Linked DNA regions of Caenorhabditis elegans. The protein of the gene in region 2 interacts with the protein of the main gene of each other region in a biochemical or structural test. Each region holds a gene or a part of one and is shown on either strand. Other genes may lie near its edges.

Region 1 (6,883 bases), on a different chromosome or scaffold from region 2:
TGACAATTTTTCCTCAGGATCATAGTTTCTGTACAAAAAATTAGCGCTAAATGCCAGGCCTATTTGTAGGATGGTTCTTGTGGCACTTTACTGTGATTCGATTATTTATTCTATTTTTTTATCAGATTGCTCAAACATGGCATACCTCTTACAGTTTTTTGTACGAATCTGTCACAATTGAAAGACAGGCTGTTGGTTTATTCTTTGGGCTTTCAAAAGTAGCATCCCAATTCTACTTTTGAAAGCCCAAGAATTTTGTATGTAACTGTAAATTCGATCTTCTTAGAATCTTCAAAATGTTTTGTTCCCGAGCACACAGTTGACTCTTTCACCAAACGTTCAAAACCAAACGCCAACTGAGCAGTTTCCTATTTTCCGGTTAAATTCGTCTTTCCTCCAACCCCAAACTCTTGGAAAAGTTCATCGGACTGAGACGGACTACCGGAAAACGAGAGCATGTGAGTATAGGGGGAGGGTGGGGTCCGGGACAGGAAGGAAAAGCGATGAGACATCCATCCACACATACTCTTTCGTCCCTACTTCTTGCTTCTTTCCCCTCGCCTTAAACTCTCGAAAAACCCACATACTAACGAAATTGTTGACGTACTCTAATTACGCAAATATAAAGGAGTCCCCTGATTGCTAACAAGCTGCGGAGGGACCAATTTTTTTCCATTTTTTTTTCATTTTTTTTTTCACTTCAAAAAAAAAGTGGGATGAGCCAAGTCTTAATTCGATTTCCTACTTGGAAAGGGTATGACGCTGGCCGTCTTAATCTATAAAATTTGTTGTTTGTCTAAGACTGTCAATCTGTCTTCCTTTTTTTCTATTTCTTTTTTCAAAGACTAACCACCGTTAACATCATCTTTCAAGACTCTTCCAATACCTCTTACGACAATAGGCGCCGAGCGGTAGGTGGTGAAAAACGGAATGGAGAGAAAAAAAATGCATCATTCTATTCTATTGTGAGCAATATTCAGAAAGTAGGCGGGAGTTGTTCACTGGTGTTTGTTTTGTCTGCTAGAAAAGCTGAAAACGACAAGAATTTCTGAAAAAAAAAATGCATTGCGCTCCAAAATAATTCTTGATCTTCGACTTCCCCCAAATTGCCACTTCATTTTTACCTACAGTGCAAGAAAGTTGTATTGAAAATTGATGCTTATCAAAATCGGAAGAAGCCGTCTAAAACTATATTTAAAGTTTAATTATCCCTTGTTTCATTGACTTTTTATATCAAAAGTCTAGACAAACTTTATGTTGAAAACAAATTGCAATCAGTTTTTTCTTCAATTCATTACGTTTCCTTTGTTTGAACTTTTTTCGCCAATTGCTTTGTTTTTCTCTAGTTAGAGTACGGTTACATCATTAACAAATAGAATTTTGAGGCAAAAATTTGGAACAAATAGTTTTAAAAAATTTCACTAACTTTGCTTCAACGAAAATTGCAGAAATGTTTTTTTCAAATTTTCAGCTATCTCTTGCAAGATATGAGAAAACTAGTATGTATTCAAAAACCTGTTTCAAATAAAAACTAAGATGTTCTTGAATCCGCATTTGATAAATCTCCGACGTACATAGATTTAATTTCACATATTGCATTTTAAAAAACCTTCAATTGAAAACTATACAGTACTATTTTTTCTACAACTTCACCATGTTTTTTTTAACGTAGAAATTTTAGTGAAATTTTTGATCTTACATTCTCGCCAAAACAAAATGTTGTGCCTTTTTCTCAGTACTGGATTCTAAATCTGTCACTCAGCATTCCTCGCCCCATTTTCAGGTGTCTCGTTGCTATTTTTATCTCAAATGTATTTTCAACTCAAAACATTTATACATCATTTTCACTCTGCAGAATTCAAGTTGGAGCCCGAAAGTTATCAAATTGGCCACAATCAAACAATGGCGATCCATCATCCGATGTGCTACTACAACTTTACGTGCCGACCGGTGTTCATTGGCATCATGGTAGGGTCAAAAAAATTTTTATGTTTTTATTTTTTACTCCTAAGCCTAAAAACAAAGTATTTTAATTTTAGAGCAGAAAAGACTAGAAAAGAAAAGTACATACAATTTCATTTTCCCCTGTGTCCTAAGATTTATCCAGCACAACAAATTCGGTTGGAGAATTGGTAGGGAACAGAGGAACAAAAGAACTAAATTTAAAAAAAAGCCCAATCATTTTTTGTCAGTGACGCAAATAAAAAAACACACACATACATACATGCAAGAAGATTTGGCTCAATTTCAAAAGTTCATCAATTCAGGTTCCGGTTGACTGGGCCGTTCCAATGTATGGGTATATGATGCCTTTCATTGTTACACTCACGGTGGCAACAAATAGTTTTATTGTGGTTGTTCTTTCGCACAAATACCTGCGGACGCCAACAAATTACGTGCTGTTGGCAATGGCGGTGACGGAGCTGCTAACAGGGCTGTCATGTTTGCCATGGTTCACGTACTATTATACTTTATCAGGTAAGTTCTTTAAGCTGTTTGATTTAAAAATTGTTTTGTCCTAAAATCACAAAAAAACCCGCTCACCGATTCAGGGTCTGAGCTCTCTGAGAAAGTTCATAGGAAAACCGGAAACGGAAGGACCTTTCCACTGGACTTCATATTTTTTATACACCTTGAAATTCAAAAAACAAATAAATTGTATAAATTCAAAGTATAAATTCAAAGTATTTGAGAACTGTCTATGGAATTGCAACAATTTAAATTTAAAAAAAATTATTAGGGTATTTTTCACTATTTTTTAAACGCGTCAGAAACAGTTCAGAAGGTTATAATTACCCAGTTTTTAATTTTTAGCAAAGTAGGTGAAAACTTCAAAATACGTTTAAAAAGCTTTCGAAATGTTCGCATATGTTTAAACTAGGGCTCCCATGTGGGCTCCGCAAACGCCGCTTTCACGCCGTCCGAAATTTTTATAGCGATTCGCGGAACCCAAAAAGTGTCGGACGCACAGCTAAGTTTGTACCAAATAGTGATATAAAGTATGACACTAATTGGTGCAAACTTGGCTCCGCGTCCGACAATTTTTGGGTTCCGCACGTCGCTAATAAGATTTCGGATCGCGGCGAAAATTTTACTGCTCTCAGAATTAATGAGATATTTCATTTACACATCAATTACACATCGGCCAACATTTTTCAGGATACAAAAACGATTTACAAACCGGGTTGCCCAGCTTCTGGTGTGACATGATACCCTACATGGCGGCATTTTTACCGTCAATATTTCATACAATGGCAATCTGGCTGACAGTATATCTAGCCATTCAACGATACATTTATATATGCGTTCCGTCGCTAGTTCGCAAGTTTTGCACCATTCATAGAAGTAAACAAGTAAGTTTTTTTTTTGAATTTTATAAAAATTTCTAAAAAAAAATTATTTTAATTTCAGGTTATATTTTTCATAATATCAGTTGCTACAATTATGTACACACCTGACCTCATGGCATTCCATAATAAAAGCCACGATGTGTTTGACAGCAAGAGAAATCGTAAGTTTTAATTTTGAACTACAGCTCCACGTGGTGGGTTCCAGGAACTATGAAGCTTTGCTATCGACATCGTGCTCCATTCATGTTGAAACTCGGTGATGACATTTACTACAAAGTGATGTTCACAACACAAACCGTCGCCGTTCATCTCATCCCGTCTGTGCTGCTTGTCATTTTCACATGGAAACTGGTGGGCGCCATTAGGGTGGCAGACCGCCGTCACGCCAATCTTCTCTCCAAGTATTCCACGACGACTCGTTCGACGCGACGAAAGTTCTCCGAGCTGACGAATTCGTCGGAGAACGAAAATAAAATAACTCGATTGTTCAAGCAGCGCGACAGCGTCAGTGTGGGTAACGAACCTCGTCGAGCTCATGGATTGAAGCAGGTACTTGACGAATGCATCGGATGCTGAAGAGTACTGTAATGATTTCAGAATACGCGGATGCTGGTGGTGGTGATCCTGCTATTCCTGATCACTGAAATACCAGCTGCATTAATTTTTACAATTCATGTGTTGTCAGTGTCTCTGAAGTTCAGCTTTGTAGACTATCAGTTCCTGAATATTCTACTCATAGTCAGGTAATTCTGCCTTATTAGCGATTAAAAAAGGAAAAATCGATCTGATACCAAATATGAAAAAGGTGATTCCTAATATAAAAATGCCTTAAATGTCATCTACGAGAAGAAGGAGCATGCTTCATGATTACAATAATACATTTTTTGTTTGTAGTTTGGGGCCCCCAGCTGAGTGAGGCGGCAAATGCGGGCCTCACGCCGGCCGGCTTTACGCCGACGCCCCTGTGTGTGCAATGAACTGCGAAAAGTAGTTATTTGGAGCGGCCGACACGTTCGGGGTTCCGCAGCTTGGCGTGAAATGAGTAGCTTGATGTGTGCGCAACGTAGTGCAAAGAAGTGGTTGTTTGGAAGCGGCCGACACGTTTGGGGTTCCGCGCCACACTATACATTAAGATACATGCGGTTTGAGTGACGCCGTGAGGCCGGCGCAGGCGCCGTTGCGGCCACCTCATGGGAGCCCTAAAATATTTGAAAATTCAGAAACGTCTTGATTGTGGTGTCCTACCCATTCCGCTTTGCGATCTACTGTGGAATGTCCCAACAGTTCCGAGATGTCGTACGACAAATGTTCACTGGAAAAATGCTCACTCATGCGATCCGAGATAAGGATAACTCAACAACAATGCAGCTTGTCCAAGGTGTCACTGATCACAGTGATGATAAACGGTACATTTAAAAAGCAATCCTGATCTTGACCCACCAATTATTTTGCAGTCAATCGGTTGTTTTGTGCTCGGCAAACGGAACATTGGTGTCTAGCGTTCCAGAGGAGCGGGCGAAGAAAGACAAGGTGGGTTGGCCAATAATGTTGAATCCGATTCAGAGACCGGTGACACAGCACATTCGATGTTATAATTCTGGAAAATCTGAATTCGATCATCTGTGATTCTGTGTTAAAACTGTGATAACTCTATCCGCACCCAATCTATTCAACCGATGATTTCAGGCACTCGAAACTTGTGAAATAGGCGATATGTCGTGTTAAGGTATACTAACACCGGAACTAATTGCTGTGTTGTCCGATTCTCAATTATATAGTTCACAAATGCATGTACGGTTACAGTTGAAATTGATTGTTTATCTCACTTCCGTCACGTTTTAGATGATCTTGTTTACCGACTGCAGTGATTTCTACACAACATCCCCCTTCCTTTTTCATCATCTTCTTCTTTGTGCAGTTCCATAGATCCATACACTCGTTTAGTCACTCTCACGCAATTTTGTAGCCAAACTTTAATAGAGGCCGCATTTTTTTTATTTTTCGAGTTATTTTTAGCTGCAAATCAAGTAGTTCACCTGGCAGAAATGTTCCAGTAGACAATTGTTGAATCTTTTCAGGCCGTTCAATGCAATCCTGACGTTTTCGATGAGGAGATTGAGGTTCCATTCGACCCATTCCTTGCAGATCTTGCCATTATTGTCGAAGGACACGATTCACCCAAGCGATTTAAAAACTCAGGTAATGAATATTAGTGAATTCATGCAAAGTGAATTCTATCGAATTATTTGGTAGATCTAGATCAGATTCTATCAAGATCTATCTAGATCTATCTGAATCTATCTATATCTATCTAGAACTATCTAGATCTATCTAGATCTATCTAGATCTATCTAGATCTATCTAGATCTATCTAAATTTATCTAGATCTATCTAGATCTATCTTTATCTATCTAGATCTATCTAGATCTATCTAGATCTATCTTGATCTATCTAAAACTATCTAGATCTATCTAGATCTATCTAAAACTATCTAGATCTATCTAGATCTATTCAGATTTATCTAGATCTATCTAGATCTATCTAGATCTATCTAGATCTAGATTGTAGCAAAATATGCTCGGTTGGTAAATATTCAATTTTTTTACAATTTTCTTTTTTCAGATTCCACATTTGATTGCTCAACACAATGTAGTACCGAAATGGACAATCACATGTTCATCAAGCGGAAAAGTTCACTTTTGCGGGCAGCGCTGCGAAAAAATCAACAATTATCAGCGATGATGGCTCGTGTTTCTTCTTAGTCTCACATCAAATTGGTCTCAATCGGGTTTCATTTAATTTTTCTTCAAACAATTCACATTGAATTTTTTGAATTTTTCTTTTTCTGCTCCATTCCCACCCCACACAAAAATCATTTCATTTTTTATAAATTGTACAAGTGACACTAGATATATGTACTACATATGTATGACAAAAATTGAATTTTCAATTATTATTATTATTATTAATAAAGCTTGTGTTGTCTCCACAGACAATGAATCAATGAACTCCGGCTGTATCTAGATCTAATTGAGCGTATACACCTTCTCCGGGTGGGTCGTCCAGCATATCCGCTATCATTCGTCGAGACTTTAGGAAATCAAACATTGCTCGCTCATGGAGCACAAATTGACTTTCTCTGGGATCTCCTGAAAACTAACATTAAAAAACCAAATTGAACGAATTTTTCACTTAAGGAAACTGCAAACAACAGCATAAAAACCAAATTAAAAAAATTAAAAAATATAATATAACCCACCCATCCGAAGAGCTTTGAACACTGGTGCAGACACAAAGAATACATTGATTCTTCCCCGTAGTTCTGCTGCTTTGTCTGCCATTATATTATCAAACTTTTGCAAAGCCTTGTCGATATATCGCTGCTTCAGCAAGTCACAAACCGGGATTTCGTCACTTCGGCTTCGGGCTGCTAGCTTTTTATCGCATTTTGAAATTAGAAATAATATCTGAAATTAAGACACTTTTTGGTTATTACAGTGCCGCTGACCGAGTTTTGCCTTCCGAAAATCAAT
Region 2 (4,633 bases):
TTTGAGCCTAGAAAGTGTAAATTTAGAGCTTAGCCATGATTTTCAAAATTTCAAATTTGGGGTGTTTTTGGCTCAGGTGGGAAGAGGGACAAATTATAAAAAACGGTCGCGGGTTCAAACCCCCGCTCAGGCCGATAGTTTTTATTTTGTTTGAACAATATTTTAAATCAATTTTCAAGTTATAAAAGTAAGTTTCAGTTTGGAAATTTTCAAATTTGGAATTTTCATCCGAAAAACTCGGATTTTTTTTTAGGTTTCTACTTAATTCAGGCGACATTTCCTTTTTTGAAATGTGAGCAGAACCCCTTAAAATGTGCATTACTCCACTAAAAAACCGGTTTTGTTTTTCAGATTTCTCTTGCCGCGCCGTTTTCATGCAAATTGGCAGAAATAATTGGATCACTCGTTGGTTGGGGGAGCACGGAAGAAGGCTTAAAGCACAGATTTTAAATTCCGAAATTTTTGAAGGATACGTCATCTAATTATCCAGCTCACACTCACACACCCACTTGAAAATTTATATATATATATAAATAAAAAGATTTTGCTCGAAAATTTGAAATTTCCGTTTTATTACGAATTCTTTTCATTGCGCCTTTTCCGGTTTTTAATTAGGTGTATTATTATACTAGGATTACTGTAAAAAAGGGTGGGGTTGAGATTTGGAGCAGGAAAAAATTTGAAAAAAAAAATTCCATAAACATTTTTTTTTTTGAAATTTGTTTTCATTTTTTGCATTTATATTAGAAGTGGCAAATCTAATTCTTTTTTTAGATTTTCTTTTTTTAGAAAAAAATTTTAAAGCATACACCCTTATATTTCACTGTTTTACAAATTTAAAAATTAAAAAAAAAACTTCTGGAAAAATTTCAAAAAAAATTTTTTTTTTCGAAATAAAAAAAAAAATTTTGAAATTTTTTCGGCATATATAGACGTGAAAAATCTATTTTGTTTTTTTTTTTTGAATTGTCTAGATTCCCGGCCAATTTACCAATTTATGGCCTAACGTTTGGTTTTCTAGGCCACCAACTTCAAATCGCTTTGTTGGGAAATGAGATACTTGTGAAACTCAAAATGAACTGAATTTCTCATAAAAAATACTATAAAACCGTATTTACATCTACACACTGTTTTGGAAAAAAAATGAAAAAAAAATTTTTTTTTTGAATATATTTTTCAAAAAAAAAAAATTTTTTTTGAAAAATTTTTCTTACACTTTTTCCTTTAAAATTCCTTTTTTTATCCGGAATATATACATTTTTAATATTTTTTTGAATTCACTAATTAATAAAACCCCGATTGGCCACTCTGTGTCATCTGAAAAGGGGGCGGAGCTCCGAGGCTGTTGTGGGCGGAGCTTAAATCATATTTCATATTTTATTAGACTCACTGTTTTTGAAAGATTTTAAAAATTATTTGTCAAAAAATTTTACCGAAAAAATTTCCAAAAAATTCCCATCTCCCGTTAGTCTTTATCAAAATTTTTGGAATTTTCGCCAAAAAATGCTCCAAATTTTTTAATAAATACTAACAGGATTTTAAGGAGAATAAATTTTTTTTTTCGAGACTTTTAACCCCGTCGGAAACCTTTTTTTTTGTAAAAATCTGAAAAATTGCAAATTTTCAGGTAAAATGAGAGTGCAAGTAGTCACACTTCTCGCGGTTTTGCTCGCCGTCTTGCAGTTCACCTCAGCAGCCGGTAACTATTATTCAGGTATGTTGAAGAGCGGAAAATTGGCTTCAATTTAAGTCAAAAATTGGCGGGAAATGTTGATTTTGAAAAAAATTACAAGAGTTTGAAAATTTTGAGGCAAAATTTTTTTTGGGCTGGACAAATTTTTTTATTTTTTTTTGAAATTTTTTTTTAAAAACTAAAAAAAATTTTGTTATTGCTTCATTTTAGTGTATATACCTCGTTTAAATGCAAAATAACCTTAAGTATTAATTTTTCAGAAAAAATTAAAAAAAAAAAGTTTTGAAAATTTTGACAAATTTTTAAAATATATGTTCAGATTTATGAAAATTTATAGAAAATGTGGTAAAAATTAAAAAAAAATACAAAAATAGAAATATTTCAGTTCCAGATTTCAAAAAAACATTTTTTTTTAATATTGAAAGTACAAAAATACGACAGTTTGAAAAATCAAATTTTTTTTTCAAAAATTAAATTTTCAAAACTACCGTTACCTAGCAGCTTTCGTTTTGAGACCCATAAAACTAAATTTTTCAAATTTAGCAAGTCATGGGCTTTCAAATAAGTATAATCATGACTGGATTTCAGATTTTAGTTTTTTCCAGTTTTTGGGTCTCGCAGGGAATATTTCGCGGCGTTACCCATTTTTCAGAAATTTCTGGAAATTTAGTCAAATATGTACATTTTTAGAAAGTCTGTAATACGTTGATGTTAAAATTTGGAAAAATTCCTGAAAAAATAAAGTGACGGTAGTTTTTGGACATTTTCGTGGTGAGACCCAAAATTGCAGAATTTTCCAAAATTTTTAACTTAGTCATGATTATACTTATTCGAAAGCCCTTTTCATGCTGAATTTGAAAATTTTATTCTCATGGGTCTCAACACGAAATTGGCCGGATTATGGTAGTTTTAATATGTGAGATTTTAGGAAAAAATCGAATTTTTAAGTTTTCAATATTGTTAATTCAAAATTTTTTAAAAATTTTTAAGTCAGTTTCCTTTTTACTTTTTAATAATTTATTAACTGAAAAACATGTTTTTAGATTATTTTTTTTGTCTGAAAACAAGAATTATGTCAGAAAAAATAATTTAAAATAATTACAGTCCCTGAAAGCCTGAAATTATCTAAAAATTTTGAAAAAATTTAGTGAAAATTTAAAAAGCTTATTACGGAAGTAGTTTTTACCCCAAAAAAATTCAAAAAAAATTTCAAAAAAGAAATTTCAAAAAAAAAATTCAAAAAATTTTTTTTTTTTTTGGAAATTTCCGAAAAACAATTTCAAAGCTTATTTTTTTATTCATTATGTCTGAAAAAATTATCTAAATTTCCAATTGCAGGATACCCATCTGACCGAACAATGAAACGAAGTGCTCTACTGCAACCGGAGAACAATCCAGAATGGAATCAGTTGGGATGGGCTTGGGGAAAGAGAAGCGCTGGAATGGAGGTAAAAAGCACATTAAGAAGTCGTGAAATTGTGAAATTGTAAAAATATAAAAAATTCGATGCATTTTAGTTTTTGAATTATCGAAAAATCTGGAAAATTGACTGAAATGCGGGAGTTTTAAAAATTGGATTTTTCCGCAAATTTGAAATTTCAAAATCCAGCCAATTTCGTGTTGAGATCCACGAAACTGAAATATTCAAACTCAGCATAAAAGCAGCTTTCAAATAAGTATAATCATGACTAAGTTAAAAATTTTGGAAAATTCTGCAATTTTGGGTCCCACCACGAAAATGTCAAAAAATACCGTAACTTTGTTTTTTTTTCAGGAATTTCTCTAAATTTCAACATAAACGTGTTACAAAGTTTCTAGAACAAAAAGTAAAGTTATGACTAAAATTCCAGAAAACTAAAAAATGGGTCCCGCCGCGAAATATTCCTTGCGGGAGCCAAAAACTGGAAGAAACTAAAATCTGAAATCCAGTCATAACATTTTAAAGCCCATGACTTGCTGAATAAGACAATTTAAGTTTTATGGGTCTTAGAGCGAAATCTGCAATGTTACGGTAGTTTTGAAATTTTAATTTTTGGAAAAAATTGCGATTTTAGAAACTGCTGTAACTTTTTCAGTTTTCATTATTTTTTAATGATTTAAAAACTAAAATGTTTCAAAGTGTCTCTGATATTCAATTTGTATCGGAAAACAATTTTAAAAAAATTCCAGATCCCTCACCGCGCGGCTCGAGCTCTTCACCCAGTGAAAAAGAACCCCGATTGGCAGGATTTGGGCTTTGCATGGGGCCGCAAATAAATATTTTTTCTTTAAATTTTTATTTAAAAACAATTATGTGCACTGTCGACTGTTGTGTGTGTGCTTTTTAATTTTTTTTTTACCAAAACACCAAAATTCTCGTTTTTCTCTCTTCTCCGCCCCCCTATTTTCCCTGATTTGATAAAATGGACAATGTTATATATTTTTTCCAACATACTAATTTCAACATGCAAAAATCATTTAACACTAGTGGGAGTCGAACCCCCGACCCTTTCGTCTCAACCAACCCTCTAACCACCTGAGCCACAACTCCCGAAATTTGAAAACTTGAAATTGACGGCTATGCTTCAAATTTGCCATTTCGAGGATCAAAATTTTATAAGAAATCCAAAAATTTACTTAATTTTGCTCTAGGGTCACTTTGAGCCAAGTTATGGGCTTGCGGAGCTTTCCGGGGCCCAAAATCCAAGATTTCAAAATTATCAATATGAGTGTCAAATCAGTTGCAAATTTTGTGCTGAACAAGATAAACACAATATTTTTTCGATATCTCTACTAGTTTTCGAGATATTCCAAAAAATCTTTCACAAAGTTTCAGATTTTCTTAAAAATTGTAAAAAATCAGATTTAAAACATTTGGATGCTAAAAATGTTTACTACAAAGTAAATCGATGATGCAAAAAATTTTGGCATTCACCGGGTATTGAACCCCTGACCTAGTTT

Evidence for each region. The genes of interacting proteins can lie anywhere in the genome.
Region 1: the proteins of mihp-2 (region 2) and sprr-1 interact in a test that uses a peptide from one of them, tested with the Caenorhabditis elegans proteins (one large-scale study listed by BioGRID).

The regions. Positions count from the first base shown.
Region 1 is NC_003284.9:15,464,445-15,471,327, forward strand, and holds sprr-1 (G-protein coupled receptors family 1 profile domain-containing protein), read left to right. Parts: upstream 1-1,855; 5' UTR 1,856-1,902; coding exon 1,903-1,968; intron 1,969-2,267; coding exon 2,268-2,478; intron 2,479-3,159; coding exon 3,160-3,353; intron 3,354-3,411; coding exon 3,412-3,511; intron 3,512-3,555; coding exon 3,556-3,899; intron 3,900-3,947; coding exon 3,948-4,093; intron 4,094-4,570; coding exon 4,571-4,756; intron 4,757-4,804; coding exon 4,805-4,880; intron 4,881-5,428; coding exon 5,429-5,549; intron 5,550-5,972; coding exon 5,973-6,112; 3' UTR 6,113-6,350; downstream 6,351-6,883. Other genes in the region: exc-1 (IRG-type G domain-containing protein), read right to left, coding at 6,351-6,499, 6,610-6,817.
Region 2 is NC_003283.11:18,902,145-18,906,777, forward strand, and holds mihp-2 (Neuropeptide CCHamide-1), read left to right. Parts: upstream 1-1,627; 5' UTR 1,628-1,632; coding exon 1,633-1,714; intron 1,715-3,031; coding exon 3,032-3,141; intron 3,142-3,862; coding exon 3,863-3,949; 3' UTR 3,950-4,108; downstream 4,109-4,633.